3 linked regions of the Callithrix jacchus genome follow. The protein of the gene in region 3 interacts with the protein of the main gene of each other region in a pairwise test. Links are inferred from orthologs where the notes say so. Each region holds a gene or a part of one and is shown on either strand. Other genes may lie near its edges. The genes, in order: POLL, LATS1 and LDOC1.

Region 1 (3,749 bases), on a different chromosome or scaffold from region 3:
ACCATGCCTGGCTAATTTTTTAATTAATGGTAGTTATTTTTAACAATTTAAGAAGAGAGCTCAAGATGCTACTAGAAACATTTGAAAAAAAGACTGGGATCAGCCCACCTACTAGGGATGAAGATGCTGAATCCAGCTACATCCACCAGCCTCCTCTCCTGAAGGCACAAGCTCAGCCAGGCTGACTTCACCAGTTGAGCACCCTGGGGCAGCTGGGGTAATCTAAGAAGGCGGAGGGCCCGCTCATAGTCCATGCCATCATCCACCACAATGTGAGTGACACCTGGGGCCTGGGCAGGGCATAGCTGGCCACCATGCTGGACAATCTGCTTCTCAAAGAGTTCTGCCCGTGCTCGTCCAATGCCAGTGCGTACAACATGGGCCCGAAGGGAGCTCAGCCACTCTGTGGAAGGAATATCCAGATGACTACTGTCGTAACATTTTTATTTTTATCTGCCACCCCCTGGCTACAACATAACATCTAACATGATCTGAATGAAGTGTTTACAGTCTCCTACCCTGAAAATAAGCATTTCCCTTCCATCCAGTTTCCCTTCTACATATAGCAAATTTTCTCACAGGCCAGCACTTGAATGTAAGAGACAAAAAAAAAAATTTTTTTTTTTTGAGATGGAGTCTCACTCTGTTGCCCAGCCTGGAATGCAATGGTGTGATCTCAGCTCAGTGCAACCTCCGCCTCCTGGGTTCAAGTGATTCTCCTGCCTCAGCCTCCCGAGTAGCTGGGATTACAGGCATGCACCACCATGCCTAGCTAATTTTTGTATTTTTAGTAGAGACGGGGTTTCACCATGTTGGCCAGGGTGGTCTCGATCTCTTGACCTCATGATCTGCCCACCTTGATCTTCCAAAGTATTGGGATTACAGGCATGAGCCACCTCGCCCACCCGGGACAAGGATACATCCTGTTTCCTGGTGCAACCTAGAAGTGTCTGGCACATTGTAAGTAACCTGCAAATATCTGTTGAATTAATGCCTCCTCCCGTCTTACTTTGTTTGTTTTTGTTTTTTTTGAGATAGGCTCACTCTGTCGCCCAGGCAGGAGTGCATGCAGTAGCATGATCTCAGCTCACTGCAACCTCCATCTTCCAGGTTCAAGCAATTCTCGTGCCTTGGCCTCCCAAGTAGCTGGGATTACAGGTGTGTGCCACCATACCTGGCTAATTTTTTGTATTTTTAGCAGAGACGGGATTTTGCCATGTTGCCCAGGCTGGTCTCACACTCCTGAGCTCGGGTGATCTGCCTGCCTCAGCCTCCCAAAGTGCTGGGATTACATGCATGAGCCGCCACACTCCGCTTCCCTCCTTACTTTGAATCCCTTACCATTTATTCTTTCAACAAAGCACATATTTCTTGCCATTACATGTTTCTTGCCCTTACAGTCTGCCAGACCTGACAATCCTGTCCCCAAAGCCTCTGCCATTTATTTGTCAATTTGCCTGCAAAACAACTAACATCAAACCTGGGTAATGGAGGGGATTTCTGCTTGTCCCCCAAGGCAAAAATTCTACTGGTCATTCCCTGAGAGTCCAGGGAGTCCTTTCTGATTTATAGAGGTCTTTGGGTAGAAAAGAAGATAACACAGCAAATGGCCTGTCCAAGACCCAGGACCAAGCTTAGTACAAAGCAGGTACAAACAGACCTGCAAGCCCTGGACAGGCAAAGTCAGCTCCAATATCTGATTCTGGACATGAACAACGTAGGGCTGAAGCACATGAAGGCTGAGGGTTCAAGGGAATGAGGGTTCTGAGGGTCGGTTAACTCACCTTCTGCTTCTTCTCCCTCTTCCCTCCTGGGAATCTTTGCAAGTACTTTTGATGATGCATCGGCATGAATTTTCTTCCGCTTGGGAAATGCCTTCAAGATACCCCTGGGATCCATTGAAGTACGGCTAGATCTCGGTCTGTCAGAGGGTTGACCAGGGCAGCTGTCATGTGGAAATTCAAAATTCATGCTCTCCAACCTATTTGCCTGTGGAGGTAGGGTGTTCCCTGACTAGGCCTTAGGGATAGCAGCCCAGTTCGGGGAGACAGTGCTGGGGGGGGGTCTCCTCAAACCCCATTAAACTTCACTGGTGTAGCCTAGCTTCCCACTCCCCAGCCTTTCAAAGTATTAGTCTTTCGGAGTATTAGGGGGAAATGAGAAGACTGGGACCATTGGGGGTACTTTTGAGGAGCAGGAAACAACACCATTCCTCACTGGGGTTGCTCTAAAGATTCAGCACAGCCCTACTGCTGCAGCCCCCTTCTGAAGGGCTTTACCAAAATGGGATACTGGGCTAGGGAGTGGAGCGGAGACTGGGGAGAACCTGCACCATAAACCCCACATAATCTTTCTCTACCTTCAACACAGTTGCAGAGGAAAACCTAAGGAGGGGGACTTTCGGGGGTGAGTGGGAACGCCCTGCACCTGCCCTGGTCTCAGCCTCTCGGCACGGGGGTGCTCAGCCCCACAGCTGCGGGGAGATAGGGCACGGCCGCAGCAGGTGTGAGGCACCCTCCGGATTGGAGGAGTCTCAGTCTCGCAGCTGGGGATGGAGAAGACCCGGGCAGGTGTGCTGTACCCGACGCGTACGCAGCTGGCGCAGGCCGGGGAATCCCAGCTCCGGGCTAGAGGAAAGCTGCAGCGCCCGACCCAGGCTCCAAGAGTCCCTCTCCAACCCCCGAAGTCGGTCCCCGGGTGGGTTAGACAACTGGCCAAGCTGATCATTCGCAGGTGGGCAGGAATAAATCACTTACCAGGAGAGCCAATGAGAGCGGACGAAGGGGGAAAAGCGAGCAAATGCCCAGAATAGCTTCCGAGTCAGCCGGAAGTGACCCTCAGTGGAACGGTTGCCATGGCAGCGGCCGGGCGCGCTGCTTGGCAGAGGAAAGATGGCGGTGACGGGATGGTTGGAGAGTCTGCGGACGGCCGAGAAGACTGCGCTGCTGCAGGATGGTAACTCGAGAGCCCTCGCGAGCTCCCTCGTTTTTTCCCCCCAGGGTCCACCCCACAGGAAAGGCCTCAGGGTCTGCAGAGCTGAAAGGGTCTCGGCAGTCAGCTGGGCCAGGTCCCTGCATTTGTAGATGAGGAGACTGAGGCTCAGAGATGACGTGACTGGAACACAGGTCTCCGGACACCGATTAGATTCCTCTACACCAACTCGCTCTGCTTTGAGTTTGTTGCTAATATAATAATTTCTTTCACATTCATTATCTCATTTGCTCCTCACCACTGTCCTGAGAGGTTAATTTTTCACCCCGTTTTACAGAAGAGGAAACTGAACTCCAAGAATGCTTCAGACTTTAGAGAGGAAAGAGGCCTGGGCTGTAGTTCCGACTCTGCCATTAATTCACCACGGGCTCTTCAGCCCTTTAATTTGTTTGGACCTCACTTTCATCGTCTGTAAAATGAAGTGGATGGGCTACCACTGAGGCCCTTTCCAGCTGTAATATTTTTGTAAAGTGAACGTCTTTTTTTTTTTTTAAAGACGGGGTTTCACCATGTTGGTCAGTCTGGTATTGAACTCCCGACCTCAGGTGATCCGCCCGTCTTGGCCTCCAAAGTGCTTGGATTACAGGCGTGAGCCACTACTCCCGGCCTAAAGTGAACCTCTTAATGTTTTCTGTGTCTTTAGGAGAGCTAGAGCAAGGACCAAGGGCTGTGCCTGGAAGAGGTGGGCACAGGGGCATGGATACCTAACTTTTTGCCACCCTAGGATTGGCCGATGTCGCCCCTCTGTGCACTTGGGT
Region 2 (3,749 bases), on a different chromosome or scaffold from region 3:
CAGGCACACACCATTATACACAGCTATTTTTTTGTATTTTTAGTAGAGATGTTTCACCATCTTTTTTTTTTTTTTTAAAGACAGGGTTTCACTGTATTGGCCAGGATGATCTCAATCTTCTGACCTTGTGATCTGCCTGCCTCGGCCTCCCAAAGTGCTGGGATTACAGGCGTGAGCCACCATGCCCAGCTACTCCGTAACTTTCAATGATTTTTAACCTAATCGTTAAAAGTAAGAGCTCTGGAATCAAACTGCCTGGGTATGACAAATCTCTATTTTTTTTTTGAGACGGAGTTTCACTCTTGTTATCCAGGCTGAAGTGCAATGGTGCGATCTCGGCTCACCGCAACCTCCGCCTCCTGGGTTCAGGCAATTCTCCTGCCTCAGCCTCCTGAGTAGCTGGGATTACAGGCACGCGCCACCATACCCAGCTAATTTTTTTTGTATTTTTAGTAGAGATGAGGTTTCATCATGTTGACCAGGAAGGTCTCGATCTCTTGACCTCATGATCCATCCGCCTCGGCCTCCCAAAGTGCTGGGATTACAGGCTTGAGCCACCACGCCTGGCCTTATTATTATTTTTTAAAGTTCAGACCCTCATCAAAAATACAAACGACAAACAAGTATCATCCATTAGTTTGTCCAACTTTGGAAAAAAACAGGTACCATTACATAAGATTGGGTTGAATTAAGTTTATCAGAAAGGTACCCTAGCTGGGTGCAGTAGTGCGCCTGTAGTCCCAGCTACTTGAGAGGCTGTGGTGGGAGGACTGTTCAAGCCCAGGAGTTGGAATCCAGCACAGGCAACATAGCGAGTCCCCATTTAAAAAAAAAAAAAGATGACTATGTCATAGCTTTGACCAGATCAGTAATAAGGACAGCAACAATAATATGTGCTGTTTCTTTTTTTAGCAGCATAGTCTCATTCGTATAAACAGCGATATTCAGGAAACTGGATACTGACATTTTCTTCTGTTCACTTTCTAATAATTGTGGGATCAAAAGTGAAAAATGCTGAAAAAGGACTGCTGCTTCTACTTGGTGGAAATGTTATTCAATGACTAACTTTTGTGATGTATAACAATCTCCCACTAATATAAATAAAACATCTAGAATAAATAACCAGAGTTAGAACCATTCCAAGACTATGTATACAGCATAACAAGGACTAGCAATAAAAACAAAAATAAAAACGACCTACACAATGAAAGCCAGATATTATACATTTAAAATACAGCCAAAAAAATTTTTTTTACTTGTTTTTGGAGAGCAACAAGTCATATTCAATCAATATTTAGGCACAGAATGTGCTGTTCCAGGAATGGACCATGATCTAGTTTCTTGCAGTAGCAGCCAATGGAACTAACACAATGCTACTTCTTTCACTGTTCAAACTCTTCCACTGCCTTAGGGAATCAACTACCCCATTTTACCATCAGAGATAAGCTTTGTTTTCGTAGCAGAGAACATTCATTCCAACTATAATGTCCTACCTTTTCTTCCTCATGAAGGAAAATGGATAAAAATTTTTAACCTTCAATAAACAATTCGTAAAGGTCTGACAAGCTTCATGATCACTAACATTCAAATTCATTTCCAAAACTGGAGTTATACAGTATTATTTCTGTGCAGGAGACTATACTTACTGTTCACAAGATTTATGAATAACTTCTGGAGGATGATATATGTTTTATAAGTTGTATTAACATATGAGTTGACAAACATTAAATTATGTTCCATTAGAAATTGACAGAGAAGTCAGAATGGGGATTAAGTCATCTGGAAGTCATTCATTGAGCTACAAGCCCTTTCAGGTTATAAAAAACGCTGTTCCCTAAATTGTCGTTCCTTCATTTTCTGTATTTATATACACACCCCTACTCCGTAAAGACCTCTCCACCTCTCCCACCATTTCCAACTATGAACAGTAACCTTTATCACATTGAACTAGAAATAAGAGACTCCCAGGATTTCTTCAAGATACACCCAGGATCAGAGCCCTCTGGGATTCAAAAAACTGTAGCTCTTTCACTGCAAATTTCCTTCAGAACCACCTTTCCCGTTCCTTCCCTGTGGACACCGCCGACCCGCGTTTGGGGGTGGGGTGGGAGACAGTCGGCGCAAGGCCGCCAGCAAGGTAGGCTCTTCCCTGCCCAACGTGCACTTCCGAGGCCGAAATGCCCGGGGCTCTTCCTGCAGCACCGGGCGCGGCCAACCCTCGCTTCCCCAGGGCAGGGCTCAGCTCAGGTCAATGCAACCAGCCCAGTCAGGCCCGGAGCGGGCCGCCGCGGCCCGCCAGTCCACAGCAACCTCTGGACCCCCGCCAGCGGGGATGGGCGTGGGCCCCAGCGGCCACCGCCCCGCCAACTCCAGCTCGGGAGAAGTGAGCCCCACCCGCTACGCCAGCCCCGGACCTACCTGGAGGGGAAAGGAGAGCTCCTGGACAGCGGCCACCGGCCCGAGGGCGGGCGCCTAGACGGCCGGAGCCCGTCCCAGCAACCCCAAGTATCCCTGGTGGGGCAGAGCGGGTAGAGACGCCGGAGGGCTGCCGCGGGCCACTGTGGCCCGTCGCGGGGGTCCCGAGGACCTGGCTCTCCCCTTAACACCAGGCCACTGCCGCCGCCGCCATTTTGCCTTCCACTCAATGTCGCCGCCGCCGCACTCCGTTGCAGGTTTCCCGGATGTGGGCATTTCCCGGCGTCGCTTGCGCGGGGGCCGAAGACTGGGGGCTTCTGCCCGCCCGGCAGCAGCTAGGGAGCGCGCAACCGAGGCCTCTGGGCCTCGTTGCGTGGCCCGCCGCTCAGAGCCTTCGTGAGCGTCGCCCCACGTCGCTCCCGCCTGCCCTGCCCAGAAGACTCGCCCGCGGCCGTGGGTTAAGGCTCTCTCCTGCCCAGCCCACTCGGTTGATTGAATCCTTTTTCCCATTGATCTCTTTCTCTGGACCGAGTAGGGATGCGCATTTCACGGAGCTTCGTTCTCCGAAGGGAACAACTGTTGAGTTGTTCTGGGAAACTTCGCTGTGGACCTCAAAATTCGAGTTTTGGCGCTTTGAAATAAAATTTTATTCTTGCTTAGCGTTCTTTCCCCGAACAAGCCCATGAGGTTCCAGCATCTGTATTTTCTGAATCAGCCAAGAAGAAGTTCTTGAGCCAGGACCGATTAGCAGAGTTTAGAGATCTGACCTGTCAACTGCATCCGTAGGAGGAGGTCGTTATTGCCTAACTGGAATAACGGTGACGGTGTGACAAGACAAGAGGTTTTACTTCTAGTAAAGTTGAATAGAAAATCTGGGATGGGATCACTGGGTTTGATGTGTAAGGTACTGTCCACCCTTTGTGAAGAGTGCCTTTGCCAGTTTTTCCTCTAGAAAATATAGTGTTTTCAAGTAACTTCTTTCGTAATTTTTCTACTATAGACTACAAAAAAATTACAGACGTCTTTTTCTGATGTTAAAGTAATAACTGGCTGCTTACTGTATTCAGAAATCCAAATGTGAAAACCTGTTAAAAGATTATGTTCCGCTGGCCATGGTGGCTCACGCTTGTAATCCCAGCACTTTGGGAGGCCAGGCAGGCGGATCACAAAGTCAGGAGTTCAAGACCAGCATGGCCAACACAGTGAAACCCCGTCTCTACTAAAAATACAAAAATTAGTTGGGCATGGTGGTGCACACCTGTAGTCCCAGCTACTCGGGAGGCTGAGGCAGGAGAATCTCTTGAATCAAGGAGGTAGAGGTTGCAGTGAGCCGC
Region 3 (3,532 bases):
GATCAGGGTTTATCTTTATGGGTACACGTGCCCAGGATCCAGGATTTAATGTTAGCTGGAGCATCTGAGAGTGACATAAAAGCAATATACTATGTTGGCTATTTGGAGCCTGAACTCAGCAGCTACACATAGGCAATAAGGATTAAGGGGCAGAACTTCCCTGGTACAGTGTTAAGGAATCTGAAAGCTCAGATAATTGGGAGCATTACATCTCTCTCTCTCTCTCTCCCCCCTCTTCCAGGTTTATGACTGTTGTTATGGTCTAATTATTAATACTGCCTCTTTGCCATCTGCTCAGCCAAGCCTTACCCATGCCATTCTGGAGGAACCAGAGGACATACCCTTTGCCAGGGCTTTATGAAATACATTGGTGAAGGGAACATCAGAACACTGACAGAGCCCTGAGGTAGCTGTCGCCAACAGCCTGGAGATGACAGCGGGGAACCCTGATTTCCATGGGAATAATGGTAGACAGAGTGACAGTGTTGGAGGCCAGTGACAGCACTTAACCATTAAAAGACAATCATTTCTTTTTTTTGTAGTGCTTGATATTTATTGAAAATAATGCCAATGCTTTTTCCAGGTAGTATTGAGGAGCTGGGCTGAGTGCTTGCTTTGTTCTTAGTATTATTTGTCCAAATGCACACATCTGGGGGACTGCTGCAATTTTGAAAGTAAAGTGACAGCTGTGTAAAACCAATGCATAGGAAAAAAGAAATGTCAACAATTTGGCTGCCAGGCACACCAAGCCCCTGCAGCAATCTGGTGGGGCATGGGAGGACCCTCAGAGTGGGTAGAAAACTAACCAGGCTGAATGATTGGCCCCTTCATGGGTTGGTGAGCTGTCCGAATCAATGTCCGAAGAGGTATAGCCAACTCTGGCATCTTCCAGGTTGGTCCTTACTTCGAAAGGCGGTAGTATGTAGGTGGGATGTGGTGAGTGGATGTGAAGTGGCAGCATAGTTCTCTGGGCAGATGTAAGCCTGGCAGTAGGGTAGGTGGCAGCAGCAGGGCTATGGGTGGTATGACCAATTTATAATGGGGGCATGGCCAATAACTGGGGCTCAGGACACAGTTCGGATTAGCAGGGGAGGGATTCAGGGGCTGGCCAGGGTAGATGACACTTCCAAGCATTTCCGAGTGAGTGAGGCTTCAGCCCCAACCCCAGCAGCAGGTAAATGGAGCACTATTCCTGGAACAAAGACAAGCACTACGGAGAAACGAAGAGAGAGAACTGAAGGGCGCGAGTAGGGAAGGGGACCAGAGGGCAAGGCGGAGAACAGTGGCTCCCGGCGGGGTGAGGGCTGGAGAGAGGGGGTGGCGGCGTGCAGGGCCCTCCCCGCTAGGCCTGAGGGTCTAAGGCCTAGTAATCATCCTCTTCGTCGTCGTCGTCGTCTTCATCGTCATCCCAGCCAAAGCACTGTTTCATCTCATCGAGGAAGGCCCGGTAATCACCTAGGATGGGGCTATCCATCTCGATGTAGGGCACCACCCACTCCTCGGCTTCCCCGGTGAGGAGGCTGATTAGGAATGCCACCTTCATGGCGTCGTTGCAGAATCGGTTCTCGTTCACGAGCATGTAAGACGCCGTCTGCACGATAAACTCGGGGAGCCGGGAACTCTCGCCATTAAACGTTTCGGGGAAGGGCACCGGGCAGCTTGGCGGACGTACCTGGCGCAGCAGGCTGGCCCTCTCGCACACCAGCAGCCGCAGCTGTTCCATGAGCTGGCTGTTCTCGATGCTCAGGGCGCGGTGCCGCATCAGGAGCGCATGCAGCAGCAGCACCAGCTCATCCACCATGGCGAACGGCTTGGAAGTACAGGGCTCGGCTCGGTGCGGCTCGGTGCGGCTCGGCTCGGACAAGGTGCGTACGGAGGCCTCGCAGGAAGTGCTTGTCCACCAAGGCGCGCGAGGGCCAGGGGCGGGGGGCGGGGGGGCGGTGCGGTGCGCGCCGGAGTCCGGGAGGCTACGCAAGCCCCGCCCACGCGGCCTTTCGGACGGACGGTGCGCCGGCGCGGCGCGGGAGGGGCGTGGCCAGGCGAGGGGCCGCGGAAGCGTGGGGGCGTGGCCGGGATGGGAAGAGTGTAGACACACAGGGCTTGGCTAGGACTAGGATGCGCTGGGTTGCTGAACCACCGGCTTGTCGTAGCCCTCTAGGCGGGCAGTTAAAGGCTGCGGTCGGCTGTCAGAGCTCCTGGATGTGGGGCCTGAATTAGCAGAGGACCTGGCGAGCGCTGAATCCGGTCTCAGAGAAGGTACACTTGTTCAAGCTGAAAAGATTAACCACTCTTCTACCTAGCCAACTCGCACAACTCAGTGTTCCTTCGTGGGTCTGTGGCCACTAAATTCTCTTGGCGCGATGTTTTATTAACACATTTTCTTTCTTGTTTAAATCTCACTTAGCGAAGTATTGACACTGCTGGCTGCACTGTGGAAGTCACACTTCCTTTCAGGGTCATGAAGACCCTCAGGGGGTCCTGCCTTTCATGAAAAAGGCAGTATTTAAACAGTGACTTATTTAATTGGGAAATAATATGATATACCTACCTTAAAAAAAAAAAAAACCTAAATAGCAAGATATAAAAAGTTCTGCAAAATCAGCATCCGATAACCAATTGCAGGCATCCCACACATTTTATTCTCTATTTCTTGTTCTGCTACTAGTGCCATTGGCCACTGGGTATTATTCTCTACTTAAAAATGAACTGTGAAGATGTGAGTGTTTATAAATAATTTTCTTTTTCTACTTTAAATGGATCTCTGATCCTAGAGCTATCATGAATTATTGGCTCTGCTTTCAAATATATTGCCAATTCAATCATGTCTTGCCATTTCTACCACTGCCACCCTGATCCCCACCCAGCCTTTCTTTCTCACACACTGCTGCAACTAATCACTTAGCTTTCGCTTTTTTCTACCTATAGTATATTCTCCATAAAGTAGCCACGGGAATCATTTAAAACAAAAATTAGATCCCTTCACTCCCTTGCTCAAAATCATCCAAGTTTCATCTCAGAATAAAGAGCAAAGTTGCAGCCAAGGTCTACAAAGCCCTTCCTTCTATCCTATGCCTCTTCCCATTTTCTGCTATGCTCTAATCACTGTCCTTGCTGATTCTCACACACGTCAAGTAGTTCTGGCTTTGTAGCCTTTGCACCTTCTACCCCTTCTGCCTTGCAAGACTTGTCCCAGTTGGCTGCCTGACTCCTTCACCTACTGCTTTCAAAGAGAACTTTTCTGGCCACCGGACCTATCAGAGAACCCTGTTCTCTGCCACCAATCTCTAACCCTTGACTCTGCTTCATTTATCTACATAACATTTACTGTGCTACTGGCCAACATGTCAAATAGCACTTTGCTCATCATCTGCTTCTATTTTGCAATATATGTGTCAAAGAAACACTGCCTTTGCTACCTGCTGTATCCCTAATGCCTAGAAAAATTCTGGCCCAGAGCCAAGGCTTCATTAATGTTTGGCAAGTAAAATAAGCTCAGAGTGCTGATGCTGAAAAAAAAAATTAGAAGTTGTGG

Evidence for each region.
Region 1: the proteins of LDOC1 (region 3) and POLL interact in a two-hybrid assay, tested with the Homo sapiens proteins (2 studies listed by BioGRID and IntAct). The two-hybrid records come from large-scale screens. The link is inferred for Callithrix jacchus from reciprocal best matches to the Homo sapiens genes LDOC1 and POLL.
Region 2: the proteins of LDOC1 (region 3) and LATS1 interact in a two-hybrid assay, tested with the Homo sapiens proteins (2 studies listed by BioGRID and IntAct). The two-hybrid records come from large-scale screens. The link is inferred for Callithrix jacchus from reciprocal best matches to the Homo sapiens genes LDOC1 and LATS1.

Annotation. Positions count from the first base shown.
Region 1 is NC_133513.1:94,542,996-94,546,744, forward strand, and holds the start of POLL (DNA polymerase lambda), read right to left. Parts: upstream 2,804-3,749; 5' UTR 2,728-2,803; coding exon 2,582-2,727; exon of another isoform or gene 2,360-2,581; intron 1,990-2,359; exon of another isoform or gene 1,972-1,989; coding exon of another isoform or gene 1,946-1,971; coding exon 1,785-1,945; intron 404-1,784; coding exon 109-403; intron 1-108. Other genes in the region: protein DPCD, read left to right, coding at 2,892-2,955.
Region 2 is NC_133505.1:156,496,319-156,500,067, forward strand, and holds the start of LATS1 (serine/threonine-protein kinase LATS1), read right to left. Parts: upstream 2,650-3,749; 5' UTR 2,419-2,649; exon of another isoform or gene 2,073-2,418; intron 1-2,072. UniProt on the Homo sapiens protein: Negative regulator of YAP1 in the Hippo signaling pathway that plays a pivotal role in organ size control and tumor suppression by restricting proliferation and promoting apoptosis.
Region 3 is NC_133524.1:138,057,514-138,061,045, reverse strand, and holds LDOC1 (protein LDOC1), read right to left. Parts: upstream 1,932-3,532; 5' UTR 1,802-1,931; coding exon 1,364-1,801; 3' UTR 527-1,363; downstream 1-526. UniProt on the Homo sapiens protein: May have an important role in the development and/or progression of some cancers.